Linked DNA regions of Nothobranchius furzeri. The protein of the gene in region 2 purifies or fractionates together with the protein of the main gene of each other region. This does not show direct contact. Links are inferred from orthologs where the notes say so. Each region holds a gene or a part of one and is shown on either strand. Other genes may lie near its edges.

Evidence for each region. The genes of interacting proteins can lie anywhere in the genome.
Region 1: the proteins of rcc1 (region 2) and ranbp1 purify together in Homo sapiens (affinity purification with mass spectrometry; 3 studies listed by BioGRID and IntAct, counting the BioPlex papers as one, with this or other methods). This does not show direct contact. The link is inferred for Nothobranchius furzeri from reciprocal best matches to the Homo sapiens genes RCC1 and RANBP1.

Annotation. Positions count from the first base shown.
Region 1 is NC_091757.1:31,789,866-31,797,866, forward strand, and holds ranbp1 (ran-specific GTPase-activating protein), read left to right. Parts: upstream 1-2,948; 5' UTR 2,949-3,079; coding exon 3,080-3,094; intron 3,095-4,250; coding exon 4,251-4,384; intron 4,385-4,613; coding exon 4,614-4,771; intron 4,772-5,102; coding exon 5,103-5,231; intron 5,232-5,314; coding exon 5,315-5,383; intron 5,384-5,460; exon of another isoform or gene 5,461-5,588; intron 5,589-5,702; coding exon 5,703-5,851; 3' UTR 5,852-6,516; downstream 6,517-8,001. UniProt on the Homo sapiens protein: Plays a role in RAN-dependent nucleocytoplasmic transport. Alleviates the TNPO1-dependent inhibition of RAN GTPase activity and mediates the dissociation of RAN from proteins involved in transport into the nucleus.
Region 2 is NC_091745.1:40,113,474-40,120,678, reverse strand, and holds the end of rcc1 (regulator of chromosome condensation), read right to left. Parts: intron 4,887-7,205; exon of another isoform or gene 4,868-4,886; intron 4,739-4,867; 5' UTR 4,729-4,738; coding exon 4,650-4,728; intron 4,466-4,649; coding exon 4,278-4,465; intron 4,199-4,277; coding exon 4,019-4,198; intron 3,924-4,018; coding exon 3,827-3,923; intron 2,644-3,826; coding exon 2,521-2,643; intron 2,451-2,520; coding exon 2,310-2,450; intron 2,228-2,309; coding exon 2,108-2,227; intron 2,009-2,107; coding exon 1,856-2,008; intron 1,701-1,855; coding exon 1,525-1,700; 3' UTR 1,294-1,524; downstream 1-1,293. UniProt on the Homo sapiens protein: Guanine-nucleotide releasing factor that promotes the exchange of Ran-bound GDP by GTP, and thereby plays an important role in RAN-mediated functions in nuclear import and mitosis.

The DNA.
Region 1 (8,001 bases), on a different chromosome or scaffold from region 2:
CCTCATCAGAGGATGAAGCCCAGACCCCTGGAAGAGGGCTTCCCCCACCCCCAGCCATCCCCCCGGTGAGGAGAAGGTTCATCCTCCCCAATAACCTGTGCCTCTCCCTGACCTGACCAATTACCAGGTAATGGAAATCTCAACAAATACCACAGTAACGTATGTATAGCAAATGGGTTTGAGTGTAGCTGATCATGTACGTGTGGTGTTTCAAATGTGATACGCTAGGAAATTTACAAAGGTTAATGAGGCAGTTACATGGAGAAAAACGCTTCTGGAGCCATTACGTCAGTGTTGAGGTCAATAATTGCATTTTGTAAACTGTTGTTCTTTTTCCGCTCCCTCTTCTACACACTCTTCCAGCATGTCACGACCCTGGGGACATCATTGCGGCAGGCCATTGACCTGCAGGGTCACCAGGGAACCCAGGGGGTTCCAGTTCCAACTCCCTCTTCATCTGGTGGGATGATGAGGGAGGAACCGGCTCTCCAGGTGCCTACAGTTTGCCCTAACTCCTCTCCAGGGCAGTGGCAGCAGAGGGACGACACGACATGTAAGGTTTTTATGGTTTACACTCACCCAGTCCTCACATGCCAGTTACAGTATACGAACACACATGATCCACGCATACATACTAATATAAGATGGTTTATAAAGTTAAACACACACACACACACACACACAACATGTAAATGTAAAAAATGCTTAAACTATGTTGTTTCTTTGTGTCTGAAATGCTTTTCAGCTCTCCTGCATGAAGTCCTGGTGAAACAGGAAATAATCCTTCAGCAGCAGCGCGGCCTCACCAAAATGGTGCAGGACCTTTTTGTTGCTGTTGCTGCTCTTCAGGGCCTGACCACAAGGGGGGAGTGTGGAGACCAGGCACCATGGCATCTTCCCCTTGGCAGATGTTTAGGCCCTGATGGCCCTGGAGAGGGAGCTTGGAATCAGTCCAACATTGGCCCATGAATTGGTGAGCTTTTTTTCTGTTCTTTACAACAAAGTTTTGGACAATGCATTTTGGAATGCACATCCAATTTATGTGTTGTTCAATATCTTAAAGTGGTAGATATGCCAAAGGAGTTAAAGGACATGTTGTGCAGCTAACGAGCTCCACCCAATTATTTGCGCCCCCCACGTTTCAGGTCTCTGTCCTTCATCAGGCAATCACGAAACACCAAATAAATAAATAGCGGAACACAATGGCTATCCAGACTTTTCTTTAAGTTTGTATAATATATGTTTGAAAATTCAATGAAAATCAATCTTTGTTGGTTTGAAAAATTAACGAAGATCAATTTTTCTAATTTTAGGGTTCAACACTCAGCCTTGCGGGGGTGTGGGGGTGTGGGGGGTGTGTCCACAGTAAAGGACACTGTGTGGCGGGTCCTCAAAGGAGCCATGACTAATGCCCTCACCAAGGGAATTACTTGGTGAGGGCAAAATGGGAAGGTGGCCTTTGAGAGGCTCCACCTAAAAGGCATTGTAATTGGTAAGTTTAATCACAACAGTAACACGACTGTTCTATCACACAGCTGATAAAATTATAGTTTAGGATAAAATTATTAGCCACCCATGACAATCACATTTCTTTTCAAAGTCAAAATACTTAGTCTTAACAACTTGTTTGCGAAATGGCATGCAGTGCGCCTGTGAATGTCACAAGTCTCGAAATTATAACACCACGCTATCGCTGGCTTCAAGACAGCTATTGCCACTTTGCCCGCAATGTGACGCGTTCTTCAGGGTCAACTCTCGCTCGTGAAATTCTTGTTTGGTTTTAGTGTCAGGAAAGAACCGCTGGTTTGTGTTTGGTAAACTGTGGCAGTGTAAGTACTAAGTGACTATGACGATTTGATGTTGTAACTTTGGCTGTCACTTTCAACCCCAGATGACGAGATGAATCCATTAACGAATGCAAAACTGACTTTTTAACTAGCCAGTTACTTAGCCCACCACAGGTCACTTTTGCATGGACTGTTGCGTCATCCTTTTTTAAGTCTTTCTCCATGTATATGCCTTTATTTTCAGCTGCAGTGAGAAGGAATCCGGTCTGTGTGGCATCTACGGAGGCAGAAATTATAAATACAATTAAAAAATGGTTCTACTGGGCTGGGGATAGGGACGCAAAAGGAGATTGCCCGCCCAACCAACCCCTCAACCAGCCCAGGACTCAGTCCAGGACTGACTTTTAAAAAAACAAATAAATAAAATATTCAAATTTTACTCTTGTTTGGTTTTATGTTTATGCACCTTGTACACACAGTAACCTAGGCTATTTCACAAGGCTATTTAACTAAGGCACAAAATCTGAATCTTCTGTACAAGGACATTTTATAGTCTATTAAAATGTTGAATTAAATTTAGCATAAGGTTCAGAATAAAATACAATCTTTTGGTAAACGTTTGGCTAATTATGGATAAGTTATAGTTCATATTTGGCTTTATTGTGGGATTTTGGGATAGTTATGGCTATGCTTTGGAAAGCCACATTTTATTTTGGGTAATCTTTTGGCAAACTTATGGTTACACTTTGATATCCTTTGGCCATTTTGTGGTGTTTTGGGGTTCTTTTGGTATAGTTATGGTTGTGCTTTGGAATTCCACAATTTATTTTGGAAGAATTCTGGCAACCTTTTGACAATCTATAATTCTATTTTGGCATGCCTTATTTGGGCCATATTTGGCCCATCATTCCACCCAAAAGAGTACCAAGACTGGCTTGCCAAACTAGTGCCAAAAATGATTCTGGCAACCTTTTGACAATCCATAATTATATTTTGGTGTGCCTAATTTGGGCCATATTTGGCCCATCATTCCATCCAAAAGAGTACCAAGACTGGCTTGCCAAACTAGGGCCAAAAAGAATTTGCTATCTGGGACTCCATACCAGTTGAGGGCGGTATTGCACTAAGCCGTTGTTTTTTAACCGTCAATAAAAACAACGAAGAAGAAAAAGAACAGGATTCGGCGCGCGAAAGCTCTAGCAGGAAGTGAGAGGAGCTGGAGGCATACGGCGGTCTGTTTGGTATTTGAATCTCTCAAACAACTTCCATAATCTTTAAACATCTACTTTAATATGGCAGACCCCAAGGTGAGGACACACTTTCTTTGTTAATCTACACATCCAGTTTCCTTTAAAATTAGAATTTCATGACGGAAATTGTATTTAGTGTCTGAAAATTCGCAAAATTTAGGAAAGGAAGCCAAGAGACAGATATGCGGACAATGAAGTTGCTCTCCGTGATGCTAGAAAAGCGTTTTGGGGTGTTTTCGCCCACTGTCATTCACGCCAGTTACATAAAAACATCGCTGAAACTAGTGTGTTGTACATTTGCTTTGAAATTTGACATAATATGTCGCTGTAGTGTTGAGGTTTACGAGCTCCGAGAAGTACACTGAAGTATCCAGCGAGTCAGCATGTTAGCCACATTACAATGCTCGGTAGCAACGTTAGACGATTAACATCAAACAATTAATAATTTATTGTTGTCTTTACGAAGTTGTATTAATCTACTCATCAGCTGGAAGCAGATAACGCGGTTAGCTGCGGTTTTTGCCTTTGTCTGCCTACTACAACAGTTGCTAATGCTAGCATTCATGCTAGGGCGAAGGGGAGAGCAACCCCGTGTTGTTTTATTAACAACAATGTTGTAATGAAGTCTGAGTTATCCCCAGACTAATGCAGAACTTCCAGATTAGCGTGTGTTTTAGTTGTTTTCGTTAGACCGAGTTAACAGCCCAACCATGATTAGCCGCGGTCTAGCGTCAGCCTTACAGGCCTCTAACTAGCCGGGCAACGTAGTTATCGGTTAATTAAACAACTCTAGTCTGACTGAGTTAATTTCATTTTAGAATTATAGCTGCATACTTAAGATATATAAACGATAATTGAGATCAGTGAATAAACACGTTTTTGTAAACCATCAAACCTGGAAAATGGCCCTCTGAAAGTTTTAGATGGGATTTTTTTCAATTTGTAGCTTCATGGCTTTTTCATGTCACATAAATTGTTGTCTTTAGCCATCCTTTAAAACTGACTGTACATCTTCCTGAATTTTTAAGCACTTTAATGGAGGAAAACGTGTATAATAATGATGAAAAGCTGCGGTTTATCAAAGCTCTTGTATTCCTTTACTGAAACATTTATTGTTTGTTGATGCCTTCACTTTGCTCCTGTAAATTCAAGAACCGCACCGACAAACATAAATGCTGTGCTACGTTTTCTAAACCCACTTCTTTTCTCTTAGGATCAGGAAGACCACGAGCCCACTGCAGACAATACAGAGGACTCCAATCACGACCCACAATTTGAGCCCATCGTGTCTCTCCCAGAGCAGGATGTTAAAACATTAGAAGAAGACGAAGAGGAGCTCTTTAAAATGTAAGATGCTTCATTTGTCGCATTTGTTTTATTTTCTTTACGGGGTTACAAATTTGATTCTTGACGTGAACATTAGCCATTTTCTGCCCAAATATTTGCTGTTGATTAAAATTTAAAAGGAAAAAAGCTGGTTATTGGGGAGATTCTACAAGCAATCTTTTATTTTAAATGCTCATGTTTATCGTTAGTATAAAAGTTAGTTTAATGAAGGACTTTCCTGTTTTCCTAGGCGAGCTAAACTTTATCGCTTTGCCTCTGAGAACGATCCACCCGAATGGAAGGAGAGAGGAACTGGTGATGTCAAGCTGCTGAAACACAAAGAGAAGGGTACAATTCGTCTCTTGATGAGGAGAGACCGAACCCTGAAGATTTGTGCCAATCATCATAGTGAGTCATTAAGTCAAACCACAATTCAAGACCTAGCTGGACTTGTTGGCGTGTGTACATTTAAATTAAAAGTGAACCCTTATGTATTCTGGATTCTTTAGCATCCTGAGTAAACAGGAGAAACACTTGAGAAAACAGGTCATGCTCATCTCTATCGTGACTAACCAGTACACCTGTCTGATCTGCAACTGAAGCTGGAAAATTGAGAATGATTTTGCAAAAGAGCTTCCGTAATTTCTCAAAATGTCTGCAGTATTTGGATTTATAAAGTAACTTGTGGTCTCTTTTTATAGCGGTGTTAATGACCCTTGCACCCTCTTGTGAATGACAGTTTTTCCCGTGATGGAGTTGAAGCCAAACGCTGGCAGTGACAGAGCATGGGTCTGGAACACATTAGCAGATTACGCTGATGAGTCCCCCAAACAGGAACTCCTGGCAATACGCTTTTTAAATGCAGAAAGTACGTACTTTAATCCAGGTGTTGTACTAAGAGCTGCTCATACGTGCTTACTTTTGCTCACACATGATCATGTCTGTCCACAGACGCTCAGAAGTTCAAGGTGAAGTTTGATGAATGCAAGGAGGAAGTGAGAAAAGTTCTAGAGAAATCAGGTGAGTAAAGCGTAAACCTCAGTTGTGAATGGATTGAGGTAAAGATGAACTCCAGTCTTTTTAATCATTTAAAGGCTGCAGACACACTCTGTTCTTTGCTGTTCACTCCAGCTTGGGACTTTTTCTGTCTGCTACATGAACACACAGGATGTACCAGTGCTAGCTTTACTACAGGGCTGGCGTCAGTATGTTCTGGGACACACACACACACACAGAGAGTTATCAAGTGGTGTAAATATAAAGCTTTGTGAAGAAAAGCTAGCTTGTTAAATTATTCATAGCTTTTGATGCCATGGCTTGTTTTATTGCTTCAACACAGGGGAAGACCTCGACAATGAGAACCAGGTGGTTGAGAAGCTGGGGGGGTTATCCGTTAAAGACAAGGTGTCTGCAGAAAAGGAGGACAAAAAGGAAAGTGAGAAGAAAAAAGATGAGAAAAAGGAGCTGAAAGCTGAGGAGAAGAATTAGAAACCCAAGAACTTGCTTTGCTGATCTTCAGTTTATCATGTTTCTCCCTTTTTCTACAATAGACTCTAAATGAACAGAATTTGGACACTTGCATTTTTTTTTTTTAAATCTGTTTTGCCTCAAGATCACAGGTCTTTGATGCTGTGTGGGAAAATCAGTGATTTTGTGAAAGAAAAAAGCTCCTCCCACGCTTTTCCCTCTGCACAATGGAAAATCATGCCTACCATCACTTTGTCACCAAGCGTTCGATATTACTGACAAACTGAAGGGGCTTGTGAAAGAGATCATTCCCACTTTTTGTTTTTCATTATTCTGAAGCAAAGTTCATTTGTGAGGAGAGAGGATAATGTAGCCTGCTTATTAGCAGTACAGGGTCTGGGACCAGGCATTATGGAGGATGAAACCCCATGATGCATCTCAGCGGGCCTTCGCACCCTGTTCACACTTCTGCTGCTGTTAGATCACAAGTAAGATGAAGACTTCTTGGTTGCTTTGTAGAGGTAGTTCTTTCTCAGCTCCTCTTTACTCGGATCTGTTGGTAGCGGACTTCAAGAGGAGTCCTCCAGACAGATTTCAGATGGCCACGTTCACCCATCCCTGACTGAGGTCAGATGCACTTAGCTAAGAACTTCATATTCCCTTTTGTTTCAGACTTTTCAGATCCATTAAGCCCAAAGTAAACCGTTTCAGTTTGGTGTGGAACTTTTGCATCTCACCAAGACATCAGTTTGTTATTTACCATAACATCTCCAGACTTTAGAAGCATGTGTGTAATGGAGTGCACCCCCATCTAATCTGTTCACAACTCTCCTTTTCGTCCCACTAATTAATTTCTTAACCTCCAATCTCAAGTGCATCTAAGTGCCAGTGCATTCTGTAAATACATGTATGTGGATGAAATGTTACTCTTCATTTGCACTCGGATGATCTGAAATGTTTCCTCTAACTTCAAATAAAGCCTATCAAAGACCACACATTTGGACCTGTAAAGAAAATCACTAAAGATGTGCTACATGAGTGTCCTGGTGTGTTCGTTAGGAAGGAATCTGATTCACTCAAAGTTGGAAAGTTTATTTACTTTGCTTGGGTCACTGGGAATTTTTCCTCTTCACAAAAATAGGAACACATACAGTTTATTCTGTATTATACACAATTGTCTCAGAAATCAAAGTCAGCTTGTGGCTGGTAGTCGTTGCCCGTCAGGAATGGCCCCTGACCTGCAGTGATGTCCATCCTAAAATAAAAACAAGACTAATGGCAGTCATCTTGAGGAATGACATCGATTGCATTTTGATTTGTGGTCGGATAACTTTGAGGGAAACCGCTCCGTCTCGATCACCTACCCATCCAGGTAGTTGACTGCAGCCTCACAACATGTGTTAAGGCAGCTGGGTGACACCTTAAGGAGAGACCATGGCGAGCTAAATTAGAGCAACGTGTAACCTCCAGCCTGGGCGACAGCAGGACCAACAGCTGCTGTGACCTTTGGAGGACTGAATTAATTAGAAAAGAAAAAAAATCCTTCATGAAGTGATTTTATACCTAGCAACATCACGTCACTTCAAACGCGAGCCATTTTTTATTTTTACCCACCCTGATTCACTTTCTGCTCAAAATAAAATACTAAGCATTGCATTGTCCCTTAAGTGTACAACAGTGTCTCAGACACAACCTCTTGTGTAGGAAACAACTTTTCCTCAAAAGGCAACAATGGCTTATTTTTTAATGCAAATACAGACTTAAAGCAAACAAATGTAACATGTAGCTTTGCTTTGTCTGCTTTTCTTCTGTTAAACGGGCGTACATCTGGACACTAAACAGCAAACACTAAGTGAACAACACCTGAGCTGTACCAGACAGCAAAGTAAATAGATTTTTCCTCTTTCTGCACCGATGTCACCTGCTTGCTGCGACTGAGGTGGTGTGTTTGTGGCCATGTTTGGCACTGATGTCAAGGCAGACTCAATTTAAACCACACTCCTCAACTTCGTCCACGTAGATGACGTGGTTAATCTCCACAACACAAACTATCCGTTACAGTTTATCATACACATATTTTACACATCAAATTAGAGCTAGATATATTTGTGTGTGAGCAGATTTTTTTTTTTTCTGAGGAACTTTGTAGTTAATGAAAATACAAAAACCCT
Region 2 (7,205 bases):
GAGGCACACAAGGTTGGTTAACTTTATATAATTTCACCACAGCGCCCCCTACACACCATTAAAACTGTAATAACTCCAACACACGAGGTCGTAACTGCACCAAACTTGCTATGTGTACTCACACAAAGGCACCCAACACAATCCTGTAGTAAGTTGTTGATATCGCTTTAGCTCCGCCCCCTGACAGATATTAGGCCCTGAATAACACATGCATGATGCAATTCACACCAAACTGCACACAAATGACTGTCATCAACCTACAATCTTCTTCATGGAATAATTCCTAAATTTGGGACAGCGCCCCCTAGATACAAAAAGCCTTTGTAACTTCTGCAAAAAAGCTCCAAACTACATCAAACTTTGTAGGAGTCATCACACAACTGCAATCAACACATGTATGTGCTCACTTGTTCAATTCACTTTAACTCCGCCCACTTACAGCTTTTTGTCTCTAGATGACCCATGCAACGTTTGATTGATGACAAATTAACAGGAAACCATCTTTGATGACCAAAGATGACCTCTATGGGATTTAGTTGTAAATGGTCACAGCGCCCCCTAGATGGGTTCAAACTTTATTAACTTCTAAAGACAAGGTCAGAATGGCATTATACTTGGCTTGTGACATCACGTGACTGCACCAAACACACTGATATGGTTGTTGGTTCAAATCTCTGTAGATCCGCCCATTTCAGCTCACTGGCTCTAGATAACACACACAACGTCCGTTTGATGCCAAAATAAAAGAAAACTTTCTTTGTCAACCAAAGCTGACCTCAATGGGATTTTTCTGTAGTTGATCACCCTAGATAACTTTCACTTTCGATAACTTTAATAAACATGGGCAGAAAAGCATTAAAGTTGGTCTTTGTCATCACACCAACAGTGTGGTAAAGACAGAGTATGCCCTAGTGGTGAGACATGTAATATAATGGTAGGCTCAGAGGGGATGCTGAGTCAGGGTGAGGTGTGGACGAGGTGACCGTTAGTTGTTCTTGGTGTCGGGGTGGTGGACGTTTCAGTCCGTGGACGTGCCCTGGTGCCCCGGGCTGCCGGCCAGGACGGAGCGGCGGGGAGCTGGGTTTGGAGAGTGTCGGGGATGGAGTGGAGGGGGTGCGGACGGAGGGCGAGCAGCTACGCTGCGAGGGCCGAACGACGCTGCTTGCAGCTTTAATTCTGATTATTATTGCTCAAAGAAGACCTTAAAAAAACTATTTTTCAGGAGCTTTAACAGTCTGCGCTCTCACTTCCTCGTCCTACATGCAATCACCTCCACAAACACAATTTCAGTCGTACAAATGACTCAGTAAAATTTAATTGAAATCTTAAAAAAAACAAACAGATTAATTTCTCATGATCTAAACCAACGTTTCGCCCCAGGTTAAGAACAAATAAGTTCTCATAAGAGTTTAGGCCTCCGGTGACCCCACGTGGCCTGAACCCCTCACGCTCCCTCGGCTCAGCACAGCAGGTCAAACATCAGCTCGTCTCAGCATCCTGAACGTCTTCCTGTCCAGCACAACATCAGCTCTCCTGTTTGTCTTTGACCAGCAAGACGGTGTGCTGCCCCCCACTGGACGCCATCAGAACTTCACGGTTCTCCAGCTGTTTGCCTGTCATCTTCACGGGGCTCCACTCATCCTCCTCCTCTCCTGTTCCAAGCTGCAGGTTGGTTCCCATGCCCCAAGCATACACCGATCCTGAAAACACACAAACACGCTTCAGTAAGAACTGATATCTAGTCTGGTTTCATTTAATGTGGCGAATATTACAACCAGTTTAAGCTTTTAGCGATCATCAAAAGGTACGAGAACGTGTGGTAGTTCCCAAAAGCCCAAACGACTCTGCTGCCCACCTTCTTTGGTGACGGCGTAGCTGACAGAAGCCCCACATGACACTTCCCGGGCCGACTCCAGCCCTGTCACCGGCGTGGGCTCGCTCTTCTCTTCAGCTCCTCGACCCAGCCCGAGGCGACCGTACTCGGCTCTCCCAAGACTATAAACCTGCCCTAAACATGTGAACAAAAATCAAAAGCAAAACAATTCTGTTAGTTTTTTTTTTTACGTTGGTCAGAATAAAATCAGAGTACGGCGACCCGTCTGTCCACCTTCAGAGTCTAGGCAGAGCGTGTGATGTTGGCCTCCAGAGAAGTCCACCCAAGTGGTCGTTGAGTTCTTGAAACACGTCAGCTTCACCGGGACGAAACACATCTTGGTGCTTTTAGTGCCTGGAAAGAAAAACAGGATTAGCAAACAGTGGGACCACTCACTGGCACGGTTCAGTTCCCACGACACAAACTCAAGACTCACCGAGCTGGTGGTAGTTTGAGAGGCCGAACCCATAAATGTATCCTTCTTTAGACATGGCAAAGGTAAGATACGCCCCGCAGAACACATCCGTAAAGTGAACCCTCCTATTGAGTTTCACCATCTGAGGCACCAGCAGTCGCTCTGGAACCAAAGCACAAGTTTAACTAAACAGAGACACACGAATGTCTTCAGCCGCGTTCTTTTTACCCACCGAGACCTCTCCTGCCCCCTCTGTTTGAAAACTGCTCCGGCACTCGTCCCAGCTGTCCCTGTTCTGCAGAGCCTGATGTGTACAGATCTCCGTCCAGCGTCAGCAGGACCAGGTGGTCATTCCCTGTGAAAGCAGCAGAGTTCCTGTAAACTGGGATTAAACCAAAGGTGTGGAGCTTAAACACAGTAGGGGTTGTATGAACTAGTCGACTTCACTGCTCTGTAGTGACTTTTTATGCCTGTCATCGACTATTCGCTGTCAGGTGATAATGACCGGCAAGATGCAGTCCTCGGAAAATACAGCAGGTGATGAGCTCCTGCGCGTCGGGAGGTAACGCGCTGTGCCAGAGCGTCGGTACTGACACCCGCCGTAAAACGGACATTTAACCAAATTGTGACCTTTACCCTCTTGTAATTTAACCTTCCCCTCACCCCCATCCTAACCTTAACCAGCTTGCGCATGCAAAGCTCTGATCGTTGACACGCTCCAGACATCTGCGTCCTGAGCACAGCCACAGTAACATTATCAAATCAGGTGTCGCCACCTCAAAAACAAATTTAACATGCGATCGTTCATATCGGCTCATTTCCTTTTATGTATTCTGTCTTTTATTCTTTTATTTGTGCCTGATGCGTTTCGCTGCTGTGGATTGGGGCGCATCACCTGTTTTGTCCTCAGTGAAGCACCTAACTGATGCGGCCGGCAAGCAGCACGCACTCCGCTGTTTTTGCGGTCGGTAGATCTTTTAGAACTGCAGTTCAAAGGTAACTCATAAGGTGAATATATATGAACCCAGGTAGCAGTTTCTCTTTAGGATTGAGAGGAGATGCAGGAAGATAATAAACAGGCAGGACAGAAAAATAGTCAAATAAAAACAAGTTAGTTTTTGTACCTGGTGGTTGCAACAAACAGACACCATTGAAGGTAATCAGAAGAGAGGAACACAAAATGAAATAATTATTTTAATGTTTAGAGCAGCAGGAACTCCGAGAGGCTGCAGGCGCATCAGTGAGTTTGTGGCCGCTGCGCAGGGGGAGGGGGGAGAGGGCTGAAGCAGGGGGAGGGGGGAGAGGGCTGAAGCAGGGGGAGGGGGGAGATGGCTGAAGCAGAAACTACCGTTGTTAAAAGAAATGTGTTTAACTTTGAAAATGTGGGCACAATTTTATTTGTCACCCCCCCCCCCCCCCCCCACTTCAAGTGTATGACGTCATCAACGACTAGTCAAAGTCGACTCAATTTTTATTACTTGGCAGTCGACTTTAAAAAAAATTAAGTCATGCAGCCCCTAAAACACAGCATTGTCTACCTGAAGCAACTTTCACTACAGCCTCTGTCAGCTGGATTTTAACAGGAACGGGACACGTCGCCATGGGATCCAGAAGACCAATCACACCATTGTTGTCCTGAGAGGAGCAAAAGCAAACACACAGAGAAAATAATAAACGATTTTTATCGTCCCAGCTGCTCAAATGTTGTTTGTAAACAGCAGTTGACCAACCCTGAAGGAGCCCCAGATGTACACATGTCCATCCTCTGTGAGTGCAGCTGTGTGGCTGTCCCCTGCAGACACCTGGACCACCTTCTCCTCCAGAGACACCTTTCCTGGGACCATCTCAGATCCTTCTTCTGACGTGTCCCGTCCAAGAGCTCCCTCATCATTACAGCCAAATGTGTAGACCTAAACAAATTAACAGTGTTAAACTTGTGGCTTCTCTGTGAAAATAAAGAGAATAAAACCAGGACTGATGTTCACGTACATGCCCGCTTTCACTCAGACACACGGTGTGCATGCCTCCTGCTGCCACTTGCACCATTTTCTCCGGTAAAGACAGAAAAGCTGGCTTCTTCCTCTCAGTGATGTTCTCACCCAGGCCCAGCTGTCCAACATCACCCTGGCCCAGAACTAGAACCTGGCCTGCCTCTTTACGATGACTCCTGTGAGAAACTGATACAAATACAGACACAATCACATCACATTTACAGTAAAATAAACAATCGTGCGGTTGTCTTTTAAACCCAACAGTGTTTTATTCAATAAGAAACAGAAGGTTCTTAAAGCAGTCTTCTAGTCAGCTTGGTAAAGACATTAAGGTCTGCTCGTCCCTTTTAACCCTGTTTTAATGTCGTACCTTTCACCTTTTTTGATTCACCGACATCTTCTCCAACAGCTGCAGACTTTCTTTTATGGACGGTCTTTCTGGAAGACATGGCAGTCGCACTGAAAAAAAAAAAAAAAACAGAAGGAAAACATGAACACCCACAAAAACCCCCCGATCTGTGATAAAAAATATATATCGAATAAAATACCAACTAAAATATCATAATGACAATGAATTCAATGTGTTACACATTCTAAAGACCAGCAAACAGTCCAAGTGTACGACCGAAGAGCCTTTATCACAGCTGCAGCTGATGGGACTCACCAGCTGTCAGATGGTCAACGCAGCAGCTGACGCAACAGTTGTGTGGTGATTCACACACACACACACACACACACACACACACACACACACACACACACACACACACACACACACACACCTTAGGGCGATATATCGGGCCAATATTTGTCCTTGGTAAAGCCGATTTAAAGTCAGGGACATACTCGAACAGTCCGATGATGTTGCAGGAGTTAATTTAAACACGTTTTACATTAGCTAATAACATCTGCATAATACTCTAAATTAACTTTATTTAGATGTCTGACTTTAACACTGAACAATGCACAAAGTTAAGATTTAACAGTTAGTTAAATTCAGAGTTCAAAAACGGATTCAGCTTCACAAATTGTGAGAATCAGATGATGTTATTAGTGACATTTTAGCATGAAAATCAGGTGGAAACTAGGGATGTAAGAAAATATCGATATGGCAATATATCGTGATATTTTTTCCTGCAATATTATATCGATATTCAAAAGCCGTGTATCTAATTTTTGGAAGAATTTACATGCAAACATTTGTGTATTTTCTTTTGGTGCAATTCAAACGCTTATCGCGAGTTGGCAGCAGTGTGTAATGGGTTTTGTTTCCGCCATTAAAATGTAAACCCATCTGTTATGGTTTCGATACCTCATGTTAAACATGTTAAGTATCAGTTTGGACTGTTTATTACATTTTCTTACAATGAAACATTTTCTTACAATGAATTCAGTCTAAAAAAATCACTAAAATCCTCTGGCTGAATGTATCGTAATATTTATCGTCTCCCCTGTATTGTGATACATATCGTATCGGCAAAATTTCACCAATACACATCCCAAGTGGAAAACATCTGGATATAGTCAATAAATTCAGTAGTAGATATCGGCCATCGGCTAATAATGTCTGGGCATCATTGTCGTTGGTATCGGCCAACCTCTAGTTTTAATCAATAACTGAGATTATAGTCAAACAACAAAGTTGTGTTTATGTAGTTCCCTTATTACTGATTTTGAAGTATTGATGAAAGACACACAAAACACTTCTGCTGCCAGGATTATGTTCCCCTTGGGAAATCATTAAATCGAGGCTCACCTGGTCAACAGAAGAAATGTTATTGAGTCAACTTTACCAGAAAATACAAATAAACAAGATCTAAATGAAATAATTTGACATAAATGTGTCTTTAAGAGTTCTATTTCGTCTAGTCTTAGCCCTTAAGCTAGCTGCTATTGGAAGGATGATCTCCGCATCAGCCAATCATGAAGAGCTTAAATGTACGCCCACCAATAGTGGGCCCCCTCGTGGTATATAACCGCAGTGACCCCACTGCTCACCTCCTTTTTCTCTTCATGCCAAGCTTGAGAGCTTTATTAAAGAGCAAATATTATCTCAAAAGAGCGAAATTATCCGAAGACGACTTACCAGCCATGTCCAGCGACGCCAGACCCTGCCCGACCTGCCAGACGGGCTCCATTTCCAGTGGAGACCTGCACACTAAGTGTGAGGTCTGTCTCGGGGCTCACCACGCTGGCCTGGCCTTGACCCCGCAGGCCTCGTGCCCGTTCTGTGCCGCTCTGCCCGTGGCAGAGAAGATTTGCCGGGTCGAGTACTTCACTCCCGCCGCCGACGAAGAATTTCCGGTGGCTGACTCCTACCCGCTGGACAAGGCTTTGGTTTTCTTCGACGCCGGTCAGGAGCCGGCTGGCTTCAACCGGCTGGATGACGTCACCGACAGTGAAAACTACGATGAGGCGGCATCCCTCCTAGACATAACGGAGGTCGACGAGCTTCGCTCAGCGGGTCCTTCTGCCCCAGTGGCTTCTCGCTCCTCCCTGCCAGCAGTAAGAGCACTGCTCCAGGAGCTGCCCGCCATCATTTCTGCGGCAGCAGCCCGCAAGGGGCTAGCTGTGCCAGAACCGGCCCTGCCTGAAGCGGATGATTTGGCGGGAATTTTCGTGGCAACTCAGACACGCTGTCCAGACCCTGTCTGGCCGCGCTTCCCCGCTGCTATGAGCTGCTGGTCTGCCGCCTTCTCCGAGCCTGCCAAGCTCAAGGCGCCAGTCTCCACGTATGCGCCCATCACCAAGGTCGAGGGGTTTTCCAACCAAGGCTGGCCGTCCGTTCCTCCACTAGAGCCGGATTTGGCCTCGCTGTTCGGCGCCAAGAACCACCTCGCTGGCCCGCGAGCTGTTCCCGCTTCAAAACATGACCAGCTGCTGACGCGGCTCACCGACCGCGCACATCAGTGTGCCTTTCAGACCG